Struthio camelus: one gene and its partners. The protein of the gene in region 2 purifies or fractionates together with the protein of the main gene of each other region. This does not show direct contact. Links are inferred from orthologs where the notes say so. Each region holds a gene or a part of one and is shown on either strand. Other genes may lie near its edges.

Region 1 (6,847 bases), on a different chromosome or scaffold from region 2:
TGAATTAAGGCATTGCTGAAATTGCGAATACTAATACAACTGTCAGATTTAAAGTGATTAAATTCAGTGGTATTAAAGCAATAAAATTCTACCAACATGGTAGTCCTGAGGCAAAGGGATATCTTAATAACCTAAAAATTGAATTTGGACTCTCTTCACTGTCCTGAATCATAAATAAAAGTCCTATCATGGTTAATTCGGCCTGTCAGGTTTCCAAGGCAGACATTGTTCTCTGTGGGCAGCAGAGATTCCACTGCAATTTTTGTAAGTGAGTATTGCGTCCCGCTACCCATTTCTGGCCAAAATTTTTTTCTCCTCATTGGTGTATTGGGTTACGCAATTGTCAGCTCCCCCTAGAGTAACGGGCCACAAACTACCTTTGAGCAACTAGTTAGATAATTATTCAAGCAAAATTCCTTTCAGTTTTGACTTAACATTTGCCTAATAATGTTTAAAGTGCTTTGAGATCATTCTTGGCCAAGTGCGTGTGAAAATAAATATACAAATACTGTCTGTGTGGAATTTGTACCATCTGTGCATTAAAACAATGCACCAATTAGCACAGTTACTCTTCTAAAGATGTTATTGGGACCATAAAATATTAGAATACCATGTTCCAATGTTTTCTATAGCCTCTAAAGATTCTTACAGTCCCTCCTTGTGGCTAACACATACCATTGGGATGAAAAGGAAAATATTATCTACCAGGCCCCTGAGGAATGGTCCCATAAACACACAAGCATAGGCCTATACACATGAAAAATAATTTTCCAGTATAACTAAGACATAAGTTTGCACTGATAGAATTGCACTGGAACAAATGCACAGGCACTTTCTTATTCCCATTTTCATGGCTTTTTTGGTTTAGCGCATATTTAGTAAAAAAGTATTTAAGCTAAACCAAACCAAGCTACTCTTGAATCAGAATATCCACGAGAGCTGTTTGTGAGAACGTCTTGCTGCACTGCTGTAAATAGTACCTCTTTCTCATGAGAAGTTCGAGCGTGAACTCTGCACCCCAGATAAAGCTTGAATGAAAGTGAGAAAGTTCTTGAACCACTCTTCTTCCTGCCTTTTCCCTAGCTAATTCTGGAGATGTCCTTTAGTATCTGCACTCCCTATCCACCTGCCTATGTCTAACACCTAGAATAAAATGGCCCCATGGCCATGGCTGTAGACACTGTCATAAAAATATTATTAAGAACTTATGAATTAAGTAATTTATAAAGAAAGCTCATCCTCTTACTCATGCACCAAAACCTCTTCTCACCTAAAGTAAACTGTGCTTTCATCCCAAGCTAGCTCACACTAGAGACCGATTCCCACTTTTTCTTGGACTAGTAATGCAACTATTTTCCAATAAAGACATAGACAAAATCACTCGAGTATTGATATTCCTTCAACAGCAATTCTAGAGTGTCACCGCATCCACAAAAGACCTGCAGGACGTGTCTGCTCCCAGAAGTGTTACTGACAAATACTACAAATTGCAGCGTGAATGTTTCATACAGCTTTAAAGTGCAGCTGCTAACACTCCGGTTCATTCAGCAATGAGGATATAAGTACAGTAACCCTGACAGAGATTTCACAAGCAAGAATGACACAGCCAACGGAGTCTAAAATAGTAATTGAATTATACTTACAGTTAGCAAAATGCCTACAGTGAAGTTTATAGCTAACAAAATATATAAAGTGAAATGTAATGTTTACATCTTGCCTGCATCTCAGTCATTCCTGTGCAAATACCTTTTCTTAGTTATTCAGGAGGAGTACCCCCTCCCCCCCCTTTTGGGAATCACTTCTGAGACCTGTAGTGTATTTCAGGATAAGAGTTTGACACAGAAATTTTCATTTGCTGTTCTGTATTGTTTGATGATATGCTATTTGCTTTGATTTTCTTCCAAATTCTTGCCAGAATAGGGATTTCAAGACTAGGATGGCACAAATATTTTGTCACATAAATTTTGAAGCTGTCAGTATCCACCTATGCTTTTTCTTTTTCTTGAGCAAAACATAGCATGTTATAAACTCAGTAGTTAAACTCATTCTCTTCTTTGGGGCAGGATCAGACTTATGACTTATACAGTGGTTACTTCCTTGATGCACTAAAATAACTCTGCCATAACAATGCCTAGCTTTTTAACTTGGACCCTGTTGCAAATATCTCGAAGTCTGGAAAAAATGTGCTGAATGTTACCTCAGAAAGGAAAAAGTAAATGGGTATATATGCTTTTTTCTTTTTCTATATAGTCTGCTCTTTTATTTTCTTCCCCTCCTTTGTGGTCCTCCATTGGCATTCCATTTCTTCTTCCAGGGGAATATCAAGCCTGTCACTCTTCGGTTCTCCTGCAGGACATGGAAGAAGTGTACACACCAACTTTTAGCCTTTTTATTAAAAGGGACAGCAATGTCAAATTTCATTTCATAGCTTTATTTCATTTGCATAGTTTTCAGTTGGTTGAGCTCCACAGGTGTTGTGAAAAAGCAAATACCCCAAAAGAATAAGCAGTTGCTTCAATTGTTTCTTTTCCATTATTTTGTAAGACTGTAACTCCGCTAGTCTTCCTGCTATCCACAGAGCTTCTAGTGTAAAGACCTAACTTTCTCAAGTAAAAAATGTTTAGAGACAGCAAGTTCCCTTCTGGGAACAAAGGACAAACAATGATAAGCAAGTATTCAATTAGCAACGCTCTTCACAGGTCATAAACCAAAAACCCAAACTACTTCTTCCTTTTTTTTCCCCTACAGCTCACCAGTGTGCAGCTATAACTCAGTGCAGATTGCTGGAGCAAAACGTTTGAGTTGGATGGGGCTATGATGCAGACAGTGGAAACACGATATAAAATTTGCTTTCAGGTTTTATTATTCTCATAACGTTGTATTTCAGAGCAGAAAGGTCTGAATGACAGTCCGTTGTCCAGTTCAGTGGGTCTAGAGGAAAGCAGACCAGCTGTTTTACTTCTGCATCTTCAGTCTTTACTGAAGTCAAAACGACGCTACTCCAAAGATACATTTATTCTTGTCATGTGCCTTCTGGAAAAGCCTTAGATTATAGAAACGCTGCCTAAAACTCATTTTCTCCCTGGGCTCATCTGTCCAGAACAGGCTGTTTAAGGTGTCGATCACTTGGAGCAGGATGGTAGCTCTTACACCACTGGGGCACCAACATCTGGGTTTCATTCCAGAAACACTCTACACCTTCCACGGTTCCAGCTGCTAAAGCATTTTTTCTCGCTGGAAACGGGTTTAATGCTGTCCACCTGTGAAACTCCCACTCGTGTGACCTTCTCACCGAAACGCGCACACCGCATCCTTCACACGGAGGGGCACTGGCATCCAAATCAATCACAGACAGCAGGGAGAGTACATCCCTGTCACCTCGGCTGCCGCTTTTAAGACCTGTGGCTGACCGAGCAGAACCAGTCTCTTTCAAAGCAAAAAAGGCAGAACGCACCCGGGCCGACGTCGCCCGGCCGCCGGCCGCTCTAGGTGCGCAGCCCCCCGCCCCGGGCTTTCCGGGCGTACAACACCACAACAGAAAAGGCCGGGGGGTGGGGGGGAGGACAGGTCCCGGCAGATGCGCGGCCGCCGCGCTGCTCTGTGCTTTAGGCAGGCTGCGGGGCCGGCGGGGGGGGGGGCGGCTGCCTCCCCTTGCTCACCAGCCGGCCGCGCAACGGCCGCGCAACGGGCCGAGCGCTCACCGCTCCCAACATGGCGCCCGGCGTCGCCGCCCGGCAGCCGCTAGGGCCACGCGCCGGGGCGGGGCGGGGCGGGGCCAGGGCGCCCCCTGCGGGGCATCGCCCCGCCCCGCCCCGCCCCGCCCCGCCCCGCCCCGCGGCGCTGCGTCACTTCCGCGGAAGCCGGCGTGAGGAGAAGATGGCGGCGCTGGGCGAGCCGGTGCGGCTGGAGCGAGGTGAGTCTGTTCCCGGCTCTGCTGCCGCGGCCGGTCCGGTCCGGTCCGGTCCGGTCCGGTCCGGTCCGGTCCGGTCCGGTCCGCCGCTACTTGGGCCTGGGCCTGGGCCTGGGCCTGGGCCTGGGCCTGGGCCTGGCGCTGCCGAGCTGGGGCAGTCTCTCTCGGTCTCGGGCCCCAGGGACGCGCCCGGCCGGCCCGAGGCCGCGGGATGGCGGTGGCGGCCCGGCCCGGCCCGGCGCTGTGCGGGGCGGGTCTGCGCCGCCCTGGAGGCGGCGAGGGGGCAGCCGGGCAGCAGATGGCCCTTGAAAGTGTTTTCTCTCGGTGCCGGTTCCGTGCCTGCGTGGGTTGGTCTCGCTTCTCTGGCGTTTTCTTTCGGCAGGCGCCGAGGGTTTTTCTCTTGCTGGGCTTCGGCTTGTGAGCGGGTGGCGGCGGGCGCTCCGCCGGCCCTCGCCCCGACCGGCTGTAGGTGCGTGTGTGCAGCGCCCTCGCTGGGGTCAAAACTTCCGCCAGCAATTTACGCGACCAGCTGACTCCTTGTTTCTGCCTTTTCCACTGGATTGTTTACTCTTGATCAAAGCTAAATTCTTGAGTTTAATTTACTGCACTGTGTCTTAGCAGCAGGCCTTGTTTTTTTTTTTTTTTTGTACAGGAAACTTTGCATGAACAAACAAAACATTTGGTCATGAATTTTGCTTAACTCTTTACACTTTCATGTTTCTGTCTTTGGCCTGACCTTGTCGTTTTCAGTGCTAAGTTGTACTGCTGATATTGTGTAGTATGTAAGTAGAAGCAGATAAAATCCAAAACTGAATTGTCTGTTTCTTCTGTAGTACACGTCTGTGTCTCTTATCCAGCATTCTATGAAGCAATAATAAATTCCCTTCAGTATGGCTCTTCAGAATTGTGCCAAGCCCACAGGAGCTCTGTGAGGGCATCCATGTATAAGCAGTATATATGACTGGTATATTAGGATGTATGTAAAAATAGTGAATGGAATATGGAATTTTAAAAGAATAACGAGAATCAAGAATTCTATTCTTGAAAAGCAAAGCAATTATATGAAGTGTAGGTGACTTAGTTGAATTGATTATTTTCCCATTGCCGTTCCCTTTGGGCCCACCATCTTTGCTCAGCATTCTAGATGCTTCTGTATGGATGTGTAACTACATATTTTATATGCCCACTTCTTTGTGGTTGATACTGTTAAGTGTTACTCACCACAGAATTCAGTTCTTCTGTTTGTCTCCTCTCCTTACTGTTCCACAAGTAAATCACTTGTAATGTGTGAGGGAAGGTCTGTAAATAGTACAGTACTTATGTAAGAACTTTACTTCCCACTCCACAGCTTATCTACCCTCCCTCCTCCAAAGCTTGTTAATTAGAGCAGCTGCTTTGGCGGTGGATTAGTTGCTCTTGGTAGGTCTGCTGAGTTAAACCTCAGGCAGCATCCCTGTCCACCTCATTACCCTGCCACTATGCTCTACGCATGAAAAACAAATCTGTGCAGTTACTTAGGGATCAATGGAACAAAGGAGCTATTTAAAGTCTTCTGGCACGTTAGTCTTTTGGAGAAAAGAAGAAAAAGGGACTACAGTATAATGTCTGTATAATGAAGCTACAGAAGTAAGCGCTTTCTTTACAGAAATAAACAACCTCTGTTAATTCTATGGGGTTGACTGCAAATAACCTTATGAATCGTTGTCAGCATGAAAATGAGCATTACTAATGTTGCTGGCGTATAGCATAAGAAAAGAGAGGCTACCGTAGAAAATGTGCTGATTTAAAGTGGTTACCATATGCTTACTATCAGGGCAAATGAAGATTCTCCCCTTCTGTTCTTTCCTCTAAGCTGTATCACAGCCACCACCACCCAGGTTCACGGGAGTGAAGCGATGAAACAACATTTAACGTTTTGAAGTTGTTCTTTTAGCTTAGTGATATATATGATAAATCGACATACACCTTAGGAATGCAGACTATTTGAACAGAAGCAGCAGAAGTGGTTATTTAGCAATGTCTAACAATGCAATGTCTGATGTTGCGTTTTTCCTCCTTTCTATGTTTTGTTCATACGTATGCATGTGCAGAGTGGAGGCATTTTGCCGGTTTTCCACGTTCTTGGTTTAAGTGTGTTTTCCTGTCAGCACTTCAATCTGGTATCTTGTGGTCACTAAACTTGTGAAGAACAGGCAACTAATTTAAAAAAGAGGAAAAGGTTCAAAGAAAATCCATTTTTAAATGATGTGTGAGTTGAGCTTTACAATGAGTTTTATGTTTTTTATCACCTACCTCTGGAGTTATTTTTGCATCATTTCTGGCTTTGAAGGATTTTAACAAGAAATCTGTAGTGTTCATTTCAGTCTCTGGTTCTGAACAGTTGGCCAAGCTATAGTGTTAATATAATGAGGAAGAAAGCTATCAGCTGATCATATCCCAAGCAGTAGTTCAGGAGGAAGCAGGCGAGATCAACAGAGCTGTTGGCATCCCTTTCTTTTGTTCTCTGTGCACAGCTGTAAGAAGAAGATACTTTACCGCCTTTTCCCAGCTGGCTAGTTCCTTTCCAAAGCAGTAGAGCATTGAGACAGAGTGAGTCTTCAGCTTTTGATTAGCATTGCATTGCTGCATTAGTTTGGTGTGAGAAAGTTATGCTCGTTTCACTTTCAAACTAGTATAACTAGGTCCTGTTAAGGTGGTAAAACAAAGTAACTGTTGGGGGGAGAAAGTGCTGCTAATGGGATCCGTTGTCTATACCTACCTGATCAAGAGAAGCACTGTGTTAAAAGCCAATTTGTAGAGTGCCGAGTACCCAACTTTCCTATTCTGTGTGTCTGCTTTGGTTTTTTACTTCTCAGCAATGTTCTGGTCCTTTGATCTGAATGCTCATTAATGGTGCAAGTGCATCTTCTGGTTTAGTTGCATCCAATTCGTGCACAC
Region 2 (6,966 bases):
TTAGGCTGTGGCTAAGAAGACCTTGTTTAGGAAACAATATTAAAAAAAAAAAAAGCCTATTAAAATCAGATAATATAGAAAGATGAAGCTGGCTGTCATCATCAGTATACCGAAAATTGTGTCTCATGCCTCTTTTCTAACAAATCTGTTTCCACAGATACCTATCTCAATAGTGTGGGCGTGTCAAAATCAGTGGTGGAAACTGATCTCATCTTTGAAAGTGCTATTGTATGTTTAAAAAACAGCTTCAGGGCAGTTTTATTGTTTCAGTAGTAAGATCTCTTAATCTAAATATTTCAAGGTATAAGGGTTCATTTATCTGTTTCTGCAGATCTGTTAGTATCAAAACTCTGTAGACCAGGGCATCTCAAGAGAAATTTTAAGTTATGTGACCACAAACTGTTGAACTCCAAGCTTCATAGCTTACATATAATGAATCTTCATTAAATCTGAGGTATTTGGATATTAATTGGTATTTTAGAACTTTCTTTACCTGAACCTTAACTGTAACAGTGTTAGAAATCTCTGTAATAAATAGTTTATGCACAAAGTCTTTTTAAAAACTTATTGATAAAATAATGCGTTTTTAAAGATGTTCAATGTATCTTTCTTCATTACGCTATGCATTTGTACTCTTGAAATCTTCGGCTGAATATCTATGTTCTTGTAGAAACAAATTAAATTGATCCCACTCTGGCATCAGTAAATCAAGGAAGTGTTACACCAACTCCACATGTTTGAACCAAAGTTCAAGCTGGTTAGATTCATGTTTTATTACTCTATTACCTATTACTCTAAAGACAAGAGTAACCCTATGTAAGTTCCGATGGTTTTATGCTGAAGTGTTTTAGTTTTTCTTTTTAAACGACCTTTTTACTGACTAAAATTAAAGAACCTTCCCCCTTACCTTAAATGATATAATATTTATTTTCCTGCTGTCAAGCTTGGTATATTGTTGAGTTTTTTGAAATGCCATGCCACCACAACTTAGCTTGCTTTTTTTCGTGTTTTGTTCGGCAAACTTTCGGTGTGCTGTCACTGCTTTTAAACGGTCAAAAACTCAACTTACGTTGGTTGATTCAGTAAGGACTGCAGACATGGGATTTCTAATAGCAATGGGAAATCAGTTTAATTAACACTCACATTTTGATGTTGGTCTTCTCTTCCTTTTTGGTGGGCTTAGGTTATTTTTGTATGAAACTCCAAAGACATTGTGATGCTGAGTACTGTAAAACGCAACTTAAAGCTTGCTCTCTTTAGTGAAACTGAGAATCCAGTGTTTCATGCACCTGAATCCCTATACAATGCCTGAATGTAGCTAGATGTCTTAAAAATGGAGCCACAAAGCTTGTATGCTGTGTTGCTTAAAACAGAATACTATTTTTAACTTTCTCTATTTCACTGTTATCAGAAAATAATGAGAATAAATGTATCAAATCTCTGCCTCTCTTAAACAATGCTTTTAGGGAGTTGCTTATCTTAATTTAAGATTTATGGTCTTGAATAATTCCTCAAAGGAAGAACATGTAGTATGGAATTCATTATCTTCTAAATAACAGGAGAGAAATTTGGGTGCTGATAACAGCCACTGGATAAAATTCACAAATTGTCCCTGGACCAGAAAATGGAAACGAGGTCTTTTCCCTCCAAGTTGACTGCCTTAGCCACTAAGATAGGGTGTTAAGAGTTTTCATGATTCCTTGGTCCAGAGAAAGACGGATTCTGCAGAGTAGAAGAGCTTCAACAGAAGAATGAGAGAGATGTGCTTCTAAGCTGGAATACTGTGTAGTCTGGGAATTTAAAGTTTTCCTAGAGGAAAAAAGGACACTATATGCAATATGGGAATTTACTCTAGTAAAAAAGGGAACAGAATTTACATATCTTCTAATACTGTGTAAAGTTGTAGGGAGCAGAAGGAAGCAGTTACCTGTTTTAAAAGAAAGGAGGTGTCTGCTACATGCTTGTTCATCTGTTAGATGTTCAATTACAAGACTGAATGCATCAAAAAAGAAGACATCTAATTTCTGAATCCAAGTAGGATTTGAGGCGGGTGACCAGCTTTACTGCTCTGTCAAGACTAAAGCTTTTATTGATATGTGCAGAAGTAGGATGTTAATTTGAAGAACCTAGTTTTCATAGTGTTGGTTGTCAGCTGAGTGTAGTTTTTGGAATGAGAAATTTGGAGTTCAGCATCTAAATTCTGTTAAAGCACTTTGTGAGAATTAGCAGACTTTTAAATAACATTTTGAAGATGTTAATAAGAGCTAGAAAGAGAGTTTTTCTTAGACACAAATATTGGAGACTGAACAGATGCATTAACAAATGTTAAGTGAAAAAGAATTATTGATAGAACAACTTTTGTTATTAATATATAGTTCCTAAATATTTTTCTATTTCAAAGGACACATGATTGGGTCTATGTATATTTAATCGTCTATATTTTAGGCTCTAATTATATATTCATGTGCTTACATGCTTAATTTTACATTTGCAATGGATTTTACATTTCCATTCAGGGTATTGGCACTGTTCAGACGGCTAGAGCTACTTACGTCCGTGTTGTAATGTCAGGACCTTCAGGGGAGATGTGATAAAACTACTTAAATAAACTCCGGTGTGTTTGTTGTGTTATGCCATCAAATAAATTGTTACAACTGAAACAGAATGATACATTTTATTCAAATTGTATGAATATGCTCATTGGTATCCATGTTGTCATTAACAGTTTCTTTTTCCTCTTCCTCTCAGGATGAGAATGGCCTATGTTATCCTTCAAACAAAAGCCATGAACAGACATTTGCCTATTTGATTGTGGACCCTTTCAAACGACACGTCCATACGTTGTATCATTGTTTTGGTGGAAGCTTCTTTGGAACCTAGTTTATTAACCTGGTTGTTCCCAAATTTTATAATAGAGGTGTTGCTCTTTCTGCATGAATTCAAGTAGAAGTCGCACGGTTTTCTTAGGAGGAAGCATGTACTCCTTCATTACACAACCTCTGAGTGGTTACATGTTTTATATCGCTGTTACTGTGCGGTTAGCGAAAAAAAGTTTTGTATAATTTTTGACTAGTTTATTTTTAGAGGAATACTTTCTGAAGCTGTTTGCCCGATAGTTGTGCCCCCTCTTCCCTCACCCGCGTTATCTAATAAACGGCATTTCTCAACATGTCTCGTCCCTGTTTATAAACCCTTTCAAGATCCGCGACGCATAAAGTCAAGGAAGGGGAGGCTCCGGAGTCAGCGAAATCTCGGCGGCAGTGGGAGAAAGTGCGTCAGCCGCCGCCGCCGCCGCGCTGCCCCCGGCTCCCCGCGCCCGCTCGGCCCCCGCGCCCGCCCGGCGGCGCCGCCAGGTGAGCGGGCGGCGGCGGCAGCCGCAGCCCCCGGCCGCCCCCTCGCCCCGCGCGGGGCCGCCCGTGCCCGCCCCGAGCGCCGGGGGCGCGGCCCCCACCCCCGGGGCGGCGGCTCCCGTCCCCCGCGGAGGCGCCGGGGTCGCTCCCGCTGCCGCTCCCCGGGCCGGGGCCGGGCGGGGGAGGGGAGGGGAGCCGCGCCGCGCCGCGCCGCGCCGCGCCGGCCGCTCTCCCCCCGCCCCTGGCGGAGCGGGCGCCCCTGGAAGTTGGGATGAAACTTGCGGGAGGGGGAAAAGTTCTGGTTGACTGAACTTCTTCGCGGCAACGCAGTGCGGGCGGGCGCCAGTGGGAGAAGCGCCCCCCGGGGGCCCCGGAGGGCGCGGGGAGCGTCTTAGGGGAGTGGGGGTGAGCCCACGCGCGTCTCGGCGCGCACCGGCGGCCGGCTGCGCGCGCGGGGGGGGCGGGCAGCACCCACGGCGCGGGGCGCCGGCGGCGGTGCGGGCGGGCGCGCGCAGGAGAGCCGCTCGGCACAGGCTGCCTCCGTCCGAGACGGTGCGGTGCGGGCGGGCTCAGGAGGGGCGGAGCTGGCTGTGGAGAGTGGTTCGGGCGGGCGTAACTCAGAACTTTTGTTTGGCGTGTTGTGTGAGTTAGTTTCCGCCGCCGGGACAGAGGCGCCGGCCGGGCTGGGCCGGGCTCGGGGAAGTGCCGCACGGCCAAAGTTGTTTTGCCAGTTGCTGCTGCCGGGTTGATTTCCCCGCTGAGGGGTAAGGAACACCAGCGAGAGCAGGACGAGCCGCAGCCCGGGGAGCGGGGCATGCGGGGCTGGGAATCGGGGCTCTGAGTCGCCGAGCCCCGCCAGGGAAGCGCCGGGGGGTCCCGCCGGAGCCATGGATCCCGGGCAGCCTCAGTCACAGCAGCCGCCGCAGGCAGCGCAGCCCGCGGCGCCGCAGCAGGCGCCGCCGCAGCCCCCCGGCGCGGTGTCGGGGGCCCCGGCCGGCGCGGCGCAGCCCCCGGGTGCGGGGCCCCCTCCGGCCGGGCACCAGATCGTCCATGTGCGGGGCGACTCGGAGACCGACTTGGAGGCGCTGTTCAACGCCGTGATGAACCCCAAGGGCGCCAACGTGCCGCACACGCTGCCCATGCGGCTCCGCAAGCTGCCCGACTCCTTCTTCAAGCCGCCCGAGCCCAAGGCCCACTCCCGCCAGGTGAGGGGGAGGGGGGCCGCCCGGGCCGGGCCGCGGAAGGGCGGGCGGGCGGGCGGCGGTGGCGGCGGCCGCCTCCCCCCCGCCGCGGAGCTCCTCCCGGGGGAGGCGTGCGGGGGAGGGGGGCCGGGGCCGGGCGGGAATCCGCCCCTGCCGCGCGGCCGGGCCGAGGGGAGGGGGGCGCCGAGGCCGGGACTCCCGTGGGGGAGGGGGGGTGGGTGTCGCTCCCTTTCTTCCTCCGGCTGCCTTGTGGGGGAGTCCTGCTCCCTCCTCTTCCTCCTCCCCCGCCTTATTTGTTCTTCACAGAGTGTTGCGGGGGGGGGGGGGGAAAGGGAAGGGAGGCGTCGCGCGGCTCCTCAGGGCGCTGAGGGGGAGCCGGCCCCGCGGCGGGGCGGCCGTTGGTGACCGTTGGCACCAGCCCGGCCCGGCCTGGTCCGTCCCGGTCGGCGGCGAGGCCTCCGGCTCCACATCCGCTGGGCGTCGAGCCCCGTGGCTGCTCTCCGGGTCTGACCGGAGCGGGTGGGGGGAGCGGGTGGGGGGAGCGGGGCCCCCGGCACCGCTGGTGGAAGCGCTTTGCTGGGAGGACCGGCCGCGCGGATTGCACTTTCTGGCCTAATCCGGCGGCGCTCATCCGTCCCCGTGGGGGAGGGGGCTGCGGAGGCCGTGCCCCCCCTCCCCTCCCCTCCCCTCCCCTCCCCAACATGGATGTAGATTTTCCACCATTTCATCACTGCGCCGGGCTGGGCAGGAGTCGTGCCCCCCCCCCCCTTCCCCCGTCAGAGTGAGTTCCGGAGCCCGGCGCTTTCTGTGCGTGTGGGTACCTTTAAGTCTGGCTGTGTCGAGGGTCCATTAAATTAACCGTCGGTGCGTTGGGCAGACATGATGTGAAAGCTTAAATCTCGGGGACCTGAACGGACACGAGAAACTGGTCTGCCGGTTTGCAGTGCAGGCTGAGTAGGAGATGCAGGATAGGGCCAGCGCCGAGGCACTGCTAGCGTTTGATCTTCTAGCAGAGTGACTTTTGTGCCAAGACCGAAGTGTTGGTGCAAGTATGACTGAAAGTTAATGTTTAGGCTGCTACTGCCAACTTTTTGGAAGGAGGTTGTTCCTACTGGAGTGTTTTTATTAAGTAATGAACTTTGTTGCTAAGCTATAAAATAGGTTTTATTATTGGCTATTGTCACTTTATCTATGTAGCCAGTAGGAGTGAAACTTGCTCTGTGTACTGGTGCCTGGTACTCTTGTTGTTAAGGGTCTGTCAACATTTCCATTATTAAACTTCTGTTTTGAAGGATTTATAACTTGGCTTCACAAGTTTACTCCAGGCTGAACCTTGGCACATACTCTCTTAGGCTAGGAGTTAATTCATTTTCCAAATACTCGAAAACCAATCTGGCCTTTATATTGTAAGACCGAAAACAAAATAGAAAGAGGTGGGACTGAGTTGCTTCTGTATTTTTGTTTGCTTCTGAGTTGCCAATCTTTGAATTGTTGAATAAAAATCATATCGTTTCATCAGCATTAATAACATGCTGAAATACACTGAGGAATAGTGCAGTTATTACATAGCTTTTACTCAAGTTATGCAAGTTTTATCACAGTTTGATTATGCACGGCGCTGGTGTAAGTTCATCTACTGCTTATTGCTGTGTCCTGTTAAATACAGTGAGTGCAGCTAAATGGCTCTTGTATTTGAAATGCATTTAACTTGTACGACGTTCATACACCATGTACTTTTAAGCTTAGGGTTATCTCGCCTGTATATATTGCTCTACATCCGTAATGCATACGGCTTAGTTGGATCACTGTTTCTTGTACCAGTTGGTGGTTGTTAAAATATAAACTTAAAAATCCAGCTGAAAGTAGAAAATCATTTATTTCATTGTTGACTCTCTTTTAAAAAGTCAGGCTGTCTTAATTTTCCTTTTTTGTTCGTTAGTGCCATAGCGATATTCTGCCTAACAGAAAGGGTCTTTAGGTTTCTGTAATTCTTTCTCTCTGTTTCTCAAGAATAAAAGCACCTCACGTTCAAGTGAATTGCAACTTGTGCATTTTATTAAAATCTAAGCTAATTCTTTGAAATACGTTTCCAATTTCATATATGAAACTTTGTACTCACATACAGGCTTAATGAAACAGAAATGTCAGTCTCCATGAGAATACATAAATGGGGCCTCGTGTATGGTGCAATACCTTGTGTAGAGAGGTGTGGCAATGGCTGATATATGCAACTTATTATAGGTGTCCATGTTGTTCTGGTGTATCTGCAAAAAAGAATTAATTTATGAATATATGTAAAAGTCAGCCTTATTTGAACTCAATTTTCAAAGCTGCTTTTCTGTTCTGTGGTGGACGCCTATCTGCTGACGAAGTAGTTCTACGTAGTTATGACTGGCAGCTTTCTGGTGAGGAGT
Region 3 (7,851 bases), on a different chromosome or scaffold from region 2:
GAAAGCTATGAGGACAAATACACAGAATTCATGAAGAAGTGTTTTTGGCTTGTTTTCTTGAGAGTTTTTTTGCCTTCCCAAGGAACAATTTACCTCCAGGGCAACTCTACCAACATTTCCAGCAGGGTTTTTGGGTTTTTTTTTTTTTTTAAACAGAAATGTGTGAGCTCGCTATTGTAGCCATAATTAAAACAGCATCTTAAAGCTAAAAGATGAATTAAGACTACAGGGAAGGAGGAGGGGAGGGAAGTCATTCATTAACAGTAGCAACCTTTAAGCAGATTCAGAGGTTATGCTCGCAAAGGATTTCATACCCAGGGCTACATAAAATGGCATGAGATTTTATACTCTGGATTCTTTGAGGATATAGTTGATTAAAAACTAAAATGTAATAATTTTAATACCAACGACTCCTGTTAAACAGAATAATGCATTAAAAATGAGAAACCTGCAAAGTAGTGAGCTTGCAAACAAAAGGGAGCAAGTGCAAAACCAGGAAAAGAAGGAGTTAAGCAACACTAAACTTTTTTTCAAAATTAACTGACAAAAAGGTCAGCATGGAGGAGCGTATAGTTACCCAGAAGTGTGCGTGACAGTTCACCATCATGGTCCTCTCAATAAGCTCATCGGGACACTCCAAAAGATGGTGCCCGGAGACCACACCGGCATTGTTAACCAGGACGGAAACCTCGCCAACCTCTTTGCGGACCCTCTCGGCTGTCGTGTAGACATTTTCTCTTTTGCCCACATCGCAGGTGTACGTGTAAACCTGCAAGTTGCAGTGGGGCAGCGCTTCTTTTTCTCCATCTGCAGCTGCTAAGGAACACAGACAGGAGAACAGAGCAAAGTAAAACGCTCGCTCGGCTTTCAGCCTGCGGGACAAGTCAAACCGAGGAGTGGAAGCAGCAGACGCGTTTCCATTACACGACAGCCTCTGTTTACTTTGGTGTCACCACAGTCCGCCAGGACTCGCCTATTTACCACCGCTGCCAGAGCGTTGCGGGGGGGGGGGGGGGGTTGTTTGGTTTTTTTTGTTTCGAGGGGGACACCCAGCTCGGCCGTCCAAGCCGCCTGGGGCCGCTGCCGGCGAGCAAGTGAAGGGGTGGTTGGGGGGGGGGACCGGCGGCGGAGCCCCCAGCGGGCCGCTTACCTCCGGCGGCGGTCGCCTCGGCCAGCTGGCGGTAGATGTGGCGCACCATGCCGGCCGTCTCCTCGTTGCTCTGCGTGTTGATGTCCCAGAGCACCAGCAACGCCCGGCGGCGGGCAAACTCCAAGGCGAAGAGGCGGCCCAGGCCGCTGCCCGCCCCGGTGATGAGGCACACCTGCCCCGCCACGCTCTTCTCCTTGGGTCGCACCAGCCACTTGGCGGCGGCCAGCACGAAAGCCCAGAGCACTTTGAAAGTCACCACGAAGAACTCGAGCAGGATGTTCATGCTGGCGGCTCCCCCCCGCGGCCCCACGGGCGGCGTCGGCGGGTGCCTGCTCGCCGCCCGGCGCTGCACCTGGGGCCGCTCCCGCCCTGCCGGCCCGGGACCTCCCGCCGCGGCGCGGCGCGGGCAGGGGGAAGCGGGGAGAGCCGAGCGGCGCCGGGCTGGGCTCCCCCCTGCTCGCCGCTCGCAGCCCCGGCACCGAAAGCAAACGGAGGCGAAGCCCGAGCGAGCGAGCGAGTGCGAGCAGCGCCGCCGCCGCCTCGCTCCCGGCCCCTGTCACACACGCGAGGCCGCGCTGCCGCCTCCGGCAGGGGACGGGTCCCGCACCGCGGCGCCGCCGCTGTCGCTGCCTCGCCCCCCGGCCCGCACCGAGCCCGCCGCCCCTCTACTCGCAGTGAGCATCTTGGCCGCCCGCCGCGCTATATAGGCCGGGCTGGGCGGCGGGGACCTCCCCCGGGCGGCCCGGCCCGCCCCGCATTCCCGGGACCGCCACCCCCATCGCCGCCGTCCCGCCCCGACCCGCCTCCCCCGCCCGCGGCGGGGGTCCCGCCGCCGCGCCAGGCCGCGCCTGACGGGAGCGACGCGGCGGGTGCCGGGCGCCCCGTCACCGGCCCCGCCTGCCCGGCCTGGGCCGGGCCGCGCCGCTGCCCCGCGCCGCTCCGGGGCGTCCCGGCGGCGGCGGCGGCGGCGGCGGCGGCGCTGGGCGGGGCTGTGAGAGACCCCGCCTCCCGCCCGCGGCGGGCGGACTACATGTCCCAGGGTGCACAGCGGCCGCGCTCCGGAGCGCCATCTTGAGGGCAGCGGCCGCCGCCGCCGGGTGTCCTTCAGCGGAGCGGCGCGCATCCGCGGGACGGGTGGCGGGGCACCTCTGCGCACCGCCTCCGGAGAGAGCACATGCCGCAGGGCTTGTGATGCCGGAGTTTTGGTTAGGAGGGCGTGAAGAAGCGGTAAAGGGTCGTGCTTGCGCTGACAAGTGCGCAGAAGTTGCAGAAGGCCTGGGCGCGGCGGGGCGAGGCGATGTCCGCGGGAGTCCCGCGGCGGCCAGGAGGCCTCTCCCACACCTCGCCCCTAGCTCTGCCGGGCCGCGGGTTTCTCTGCTGAGCTGTGACGAGCAGTTGAACCAAACGCTGTTCGTTGTTTTTTTTATTTTTTTCTTTTTTTTGTCAGTCAGCCAAGTGTGGAGGCTATTAATATATAACTAACCACAGATTAAAATGAAAATTTAGCACTGCCACTGCCTTGCCCGAGATAACAAATCTCACGTTCTGGTGATTGACATGCTATGGCTCCCCCCCTCTCACTCAGCACCAGGAGCAAGCTGCTCCCCCATCACCTATCCGCTCCGGAGGACACGGAGCAGCGTGTGCCCTTGCTGTTTCCCACATATGGGTAATGCTCATCCAACTGCCTGCTTCTCCAGAGATAACCATCTGTAGATGTATGCCAAAGAGCACTATGCTGTGTTTTCCTGCTCTGTGCAGCTGCCAGCTTTCACAGAAGCTGTACGAACTTTGTATTTGTGAACATGGTCTCTGAGATTTAGCAGAAATTTGAGTTCAAAAGTTTGGGGGTGACAGACGGAACAAAGGAAAATGAACAAACTAATATATAATTGCAGATATCTATTTTCTAAAAAAAATCTGCTATGCCCACTAGAGAAAGTGCAGACAACGTCCTAACGTAGGTGTTTTATTGTACATTTGCTTGCTGCTAGATGTTAATTATCCTGTTTATTATAGTTTTAATCGGGTCTAGTGATATAAGCTTCTGTATTAGCATAAAGAAAGGGTACTTTGCAACACTTAACATTGCTCAAATACAAAAGTGTATCAATAAGTGGCTACTTATTCAGTGCTACCTAGCATGTTTCATGTTGTAAATAAACAACAGAAATAAATAAAACCAAGAAAATACAGAAATCAGAATTCATTATCCTCAGCCCAGCTATTTGTTCTATTTCTTAAGCTGGATAATTCTTTGCTTCTCCTAATTCCACGGATTTCCCTTCTTCTCATGCATACATAATCACGTTTCAAGACTCGTTCCCGCAGAGGTGATTTTAAGAACTTAAGTATGTTTTCCTAAGATGAGGACCCAAGAGTAGCCCCAAGAAGGCCATTAAGTAGTCTTTAGCAACAATCCAAATAAATAAAAGATGTCCTGTGACGAGCAGTTTGGTTAGCAGCAGTGCTTCCTTAACTCTCTTTTCATCTGGATCTACACAACTTTGTATGATGAGCTGAAAAGCAACACAACTTAAAAAAAAACCTAATACAAAGGTTACTTAAATTTTGCAGTCCCTAGTTCACAATATGACCCAGTAAAGAACTGTATAGTCGTTAACTTAGGGGATGACACGGAGTTGGGAACAGGTAAGCGGTTTGGTAGTTGTTTAAGTCAGCACTGCTGCTGAAATCAATGCTTCTCACACATGACTTGTTCCAGCGGCAGAAACAGAAATAAACGCAGGAAACTTGGACTCTCGTGCTGGAAACGCTTAAAACACATTGGAGTCCCTGGGATTAACAGAAGTAGTACAGTTAAGATTGCACATAAACATTAGCAGGTTTAGACCTTGCTTCGGCCTTTCTCCCGCTCTTCTCAGCATTTAGGCTGCCAGATTTTAAATAAAGAAGTACAAGGCGTCCCCCCGCCCCATGTCCCGTTTGCCATTTCGCACCCTCCTTCGGCAGATCCCGCAGCGATCGGTGTCTCCCTCGAGAGGGTGGCACCTCCTGCCGCCGTCCGCGTCCCCCCCTCGCCCCCTTCGGGCCCTGGGGACGCCGGTGCCACCCAGCCAGCCCTTACGAGCTGCCGGGGCAGGCCGTGAGCCCCGCGGCAGGCGAAGGAGCCAGCACAAGTAGCATTTCCCATATCTCGGCCTCAATCCCCCCCGTCTGTATTAAAAGCATACGGTGGAAGGTAATATCCCATATGCTTTTAATACAGGATACAGGATTTAAGGCTGAAATACGGGAAATCCTGTATTATGCGAAATGCCTCGCAACCCTACCACAGCCCCGACATAAAAGCACAACCAGGCTAGCTGCACACTCCATCCTGCATACACTACAACAGGCAACGCCGCACGTCTAATTAATGCCAAACTACCAATTACGACGGGGAAAAATAATTAACAAGAAATAGTTTTAGCAACTCTGAGAGGGTTATTTCCTCCTCTCCGCAGGCGCGGCGGCGCTGGCGCGACCCCCTCGCCGGCAGCAGCGCACGGTCCGGGCCGCCCTCGGCGCGGCTCCCGCTCCCGCCCGCTCGCGGGGCGCCCCGAGGCGCGCAGAGAGGCGGCGGGGCGCACCGAGACCCCTCTGATTTTTACCGCGGCTCCGCGCCGGGGGGCGGAGGGCGGCTCCGAGCCCGCTCGCGGCTCCGGCACTCCGCGGCCACCCCCTGCGCGCGCGCGCGCCGCGGCCAGGCACCGCCGCGGACGCCCAAACGCGGGGTCCTGCCGGTGCCCGCCGGGCCCTACCCGCGCCGCGCGCTAGGTGGGCGCTGCGCATGCGCGAGCTCTCTCTCTTCCGGCGCTGACCATGGCGGACAAGGAGTGAGTAGCGATTCCGCCCTGCCACAATCCGCCGCCATCGGCGGCCGCTGCCCCCGGCCCGCACCGCCCGGCGGCCTCCGGGCACGCTGCCGGCCGCCCCCGGCCGCCGGACCTCCGCCAGCGCCCGCGGGGGGCCGGAGGGGGCGATATGGGCGGGCGGCCTGGGGCCGGGAGCGGCGGTGACGCGGCCGCCGCCTGCCCCGTCGCGTCGGCCGAGGGCGGTTGCTGCCTCTCCTCGCCTCGCCGGGTAGGGAGGAGAGCTGGGCAGGCAGAGCCGGGCCCGAGCGCTGCTCCCTGGGCGAGGGACGCGGGGCGACTCCGTTCCTCCTGGCCTCGCAGGCGGGCGATGGGTAGCGTCCGCGCTCTGGTGCGCGCAGCGGTGCGTGGCCTGAGTGGAAAGCCGTGGCTGGGTGTGTACGTGGTGTGGAAGTTAGCGCGAGTTATTTCTCTCTGAATGCCGGTTTTGTAAATCCTGTAGTATACGCTGCTTACAGAATCCAGTCACATTAAATGCACGCATTCTGATAATCAGACTGTTATCAGCCTGATGCTCCCCTTAAACTACTGGTTGCAATGTTTGTTCATTGCTTTGAAAAATATTTGTTTGAAACAGACCTTTTCTGCTTATAAGCTAGAAAGTAACTAAATACTTTAGTCACTTGATAACTGCACAGTTGGTATTTTCTGGAGAAAATAAACCTTTGTAGGTGCCCAGAAATTGCACTGTGATGTACCCTGGTGTGCAGCTCAATGGCCAGTCGGTCAAATTTCCCAGTCTTTACGTAAAAGATGCTCTTTGGAGGTTGCATTAAGGTCTTGAATAACTGGCAATAGAGAGAGTACAAGGAAGATGCAATAATGAACTAGGGCAACACGGTGAAGCTTGCGTATGCCTTCTATTAAGGACTTACTTACAGTGGTGTTTGTAATGTGTTACTTCTACTTGGTCTGAAGAAAGTAGGTTTTAAAGAGTCTTTTTCTTGTAACTTAGAGCAAAGAAGGTGCCCTCCGTTCCGGAAAGCCTCCTGAAAAAGCGGCAGGCTTATGCAGCTATAAAAGCCAAACGTCTGAAGAGGCTGTTGGCTCAAAAGAAGGTGAATATTTCTTGTCTTTTTGTATGCATTGATTATCTGTTCTGTAGGCAGATCAGTGGAACACTACTACAGATATGAAGTAGTAGAGAAATGTTTTAGGTCTGGCAAGTTTGGGGTTTTGTTTGTTTTGGAGTTTTTCTTTAGCATTTTGGTGTAAAACATGGACCAAATAAAAAAGAAAATCCAAATAGCGCGTAACAAACTAGTTGTGGGCAGAGTGAATGCCATGTGTGCAGGTGTCTATAAAAATAAAGGTAGTTGGTTACAAGGCAGGAGGTTGCAGCCTTTGTGAGAGTAAGCATGGTGTATGAAAATACCCTGTTTGATGTAAGGTAGAATTACTGTGCAGTAGAGACCTGTTTCTCTAGAATATTACTGAAAGTCATTCTGAGTCCCATCATACGGGCAGATGTTCCCTTACTGTGTGTTATTTGTGGGGCGGATGCTACGCTATTTGAAGCTAACTTTCTTGTGTTAAAAGGCATTATGTAATCTTAAGTAACTTTCCACTAATTTCAGCTTCGTAAGGCACAAAGGAAACTCATCTATGCAAGAGCCAAAGCTTACCACAAGGAATACAGGCACATGTATAGACAGGAGATCCGTATGGCCAGGATGGCCCGAAAAGCTGGAAATTACTACGTACCAGCTGAACCAAAGCTGGCCTTTGTGATCAGGATAAGAGGGTAAGACTTCATATGGATGGAAACACTTGCTTTTATTTGTCTGCTTTAAGGGCTTACATCAGCAAGTTTGCTGATGATACTAAACTGGGAGGAGTGGCTGGCACACCAGAAGGCTGTGCTGCCATTCAGAGGGACCTGGACAGGCTGGAGAGGTGGGCGGAGAGGAACCTCCTGAAGTTCAACAAAGGCAAGGGCAGGGTCCTGCACCTGGGGAGGAATAACCGCAGGCACCAGTAAAGGCTGAGGAAAGCAGCTCCGCAGAGAAGGCCCTGGGAGTCACCCTCAGCAACTCTATGCCTTCATCCAGGCCATTGATGAATGTGTTAATGCTGGGCCCAGTACTGTCAGATATGTGCCAGAGAATGATTTAATTATTAAACGTAAAAATTACTATGTTGGGCATGTCTTCCTTAGGAATAACTGGTTAAAAACAAACAAACAAACAAAACTGCAAATATGTGAGGCAATTGTTGTGTTTCACCTTAAGCTTGATAAAATTATGTACCAACACACAGTAACATTACTAAGTTTGCCTCGAGTGCTTGGTTAAGGGTGTTCTAGGAAAGTCTTCAAGGAAACTAAGGGAAGACGTGGTTGCAAGGATAGTTAGTTCTAAATAATTTGTTTCAGTGGATTCCTTATTTAAATTCTTTTCTTTAAGTTAGATCTGGCGTAAGCTTACTACTGAAATACGTAGTGATAGTACATAATAACTTACTAAACTGTTTTCCTGTAATTCATAGGATGGCGATGCATTTAAGATGAGAACGGTATTGCTTTTTTAATCTGTTAGTGCTTTGATGATACTTTAGTGTATTCTGGGATGTAGACAATTAAAAGAGGCTCTCTGTGCTTTCTAGTACCAATGGTGTTAGCCCCAAGGTCCGTAAGGTATTGCAGCTTCTTCGCCTGCGTCAGATTTTTAACGGCACGTTTGTAAAACTCAACAAAGCTTCTATCAACATGTTGCGGATTGTTGAACCCTACATTGCCTGGGGGTGAGTGAAATAGTTTTATCAAATCAGGGTGCAGGTGTTCACTGCATCTTGCACTTTGCTACACTAGATTTGCATGTCTTCCTT

Evidence for each region. Proteins that work in one complex are often made in the same cells at the same time.
Region 1: the proteins of YAP1 (region 2) and LIN7C purify together in Homo sapiens (affinity purification with mass spectrometry; 5 studies listed by BioGRID and IntAct, with this or other methods). This does not show direct contact. The link is inferred for Struthio camelus from reciprocal best matches to the Homo sapiens genes YAP1 and LIN7C.
Region 3: the proteins of YAP1 (region 2) and RPL7 purify together in Homo sapiens (affinity purification with mass spectrometry, with the first as the bait; 3 studies listed by BioGRID). This does not show direct contact. The link is inferred for Struthio camelus from reciprocal best matches to the Homo sapiens genes YAP1 and RPL7.

What each region holds. Positions count from the first base shown.
Region 1 is NC_090946.1:29,275,382-29,282,228, forward strand, and holds the start of LIN7C (protein lin-7 homolog C), read left to right. Parts: upstream 1-3,839; 5' UTR 3,840-3,876; coding exon 3,877-3,913; intron 3,914-6,847. UniProt on the Homo sapiens protein: Plays a role in establishing and maintaining the asymmetric distribution of channels and receptors at the plasma membrane of polarized cells.
Region 2 is NC_090942.1:208,824,717-208,831,682, reverse strand, and holds the start of YAP1 (transcriptional coactivator YAP1), read left to right. Parts: upstream 1-3,949; 5' UTR 3,950-4,237; coding exon 4,238-4,555; intron 4,556-6,966. Other genes in the region: CFAP300 (cilia- and flagella-associated protein 300), read left to right, coding at 2,749-2,880. UniProt on the Homo sapiens protein: Transcriptional regulator with dual roles as a coactivator and corepressor. Critical downstream regulatory target in the Hippo signaling pathway, crucial for organ size control and tumor suppression by restricting proliferation and promoting apoptosis.
Region 3 is NC_090943.1:129,671,604-129,679,454, forward strand, and holds the start of RPL7 (large ribosomal subunit protein uL30), read left to right. Parts: upstream 1-4,843; 5' UTR 4,844-4,975; coding exon 4,976-4,989; intron 4,990-5,980; coding exon 5,981-6,083; intron 6,084-6,602; coding exon 6,603-6,769; intron 6,770-7,629; coding exon 7,630-7,767; intron 7,768-7,851. Other genes in the region: RDH10 (retinol dehydrogenase 10), read right to left, coding at 578-816, 1,151-1,433.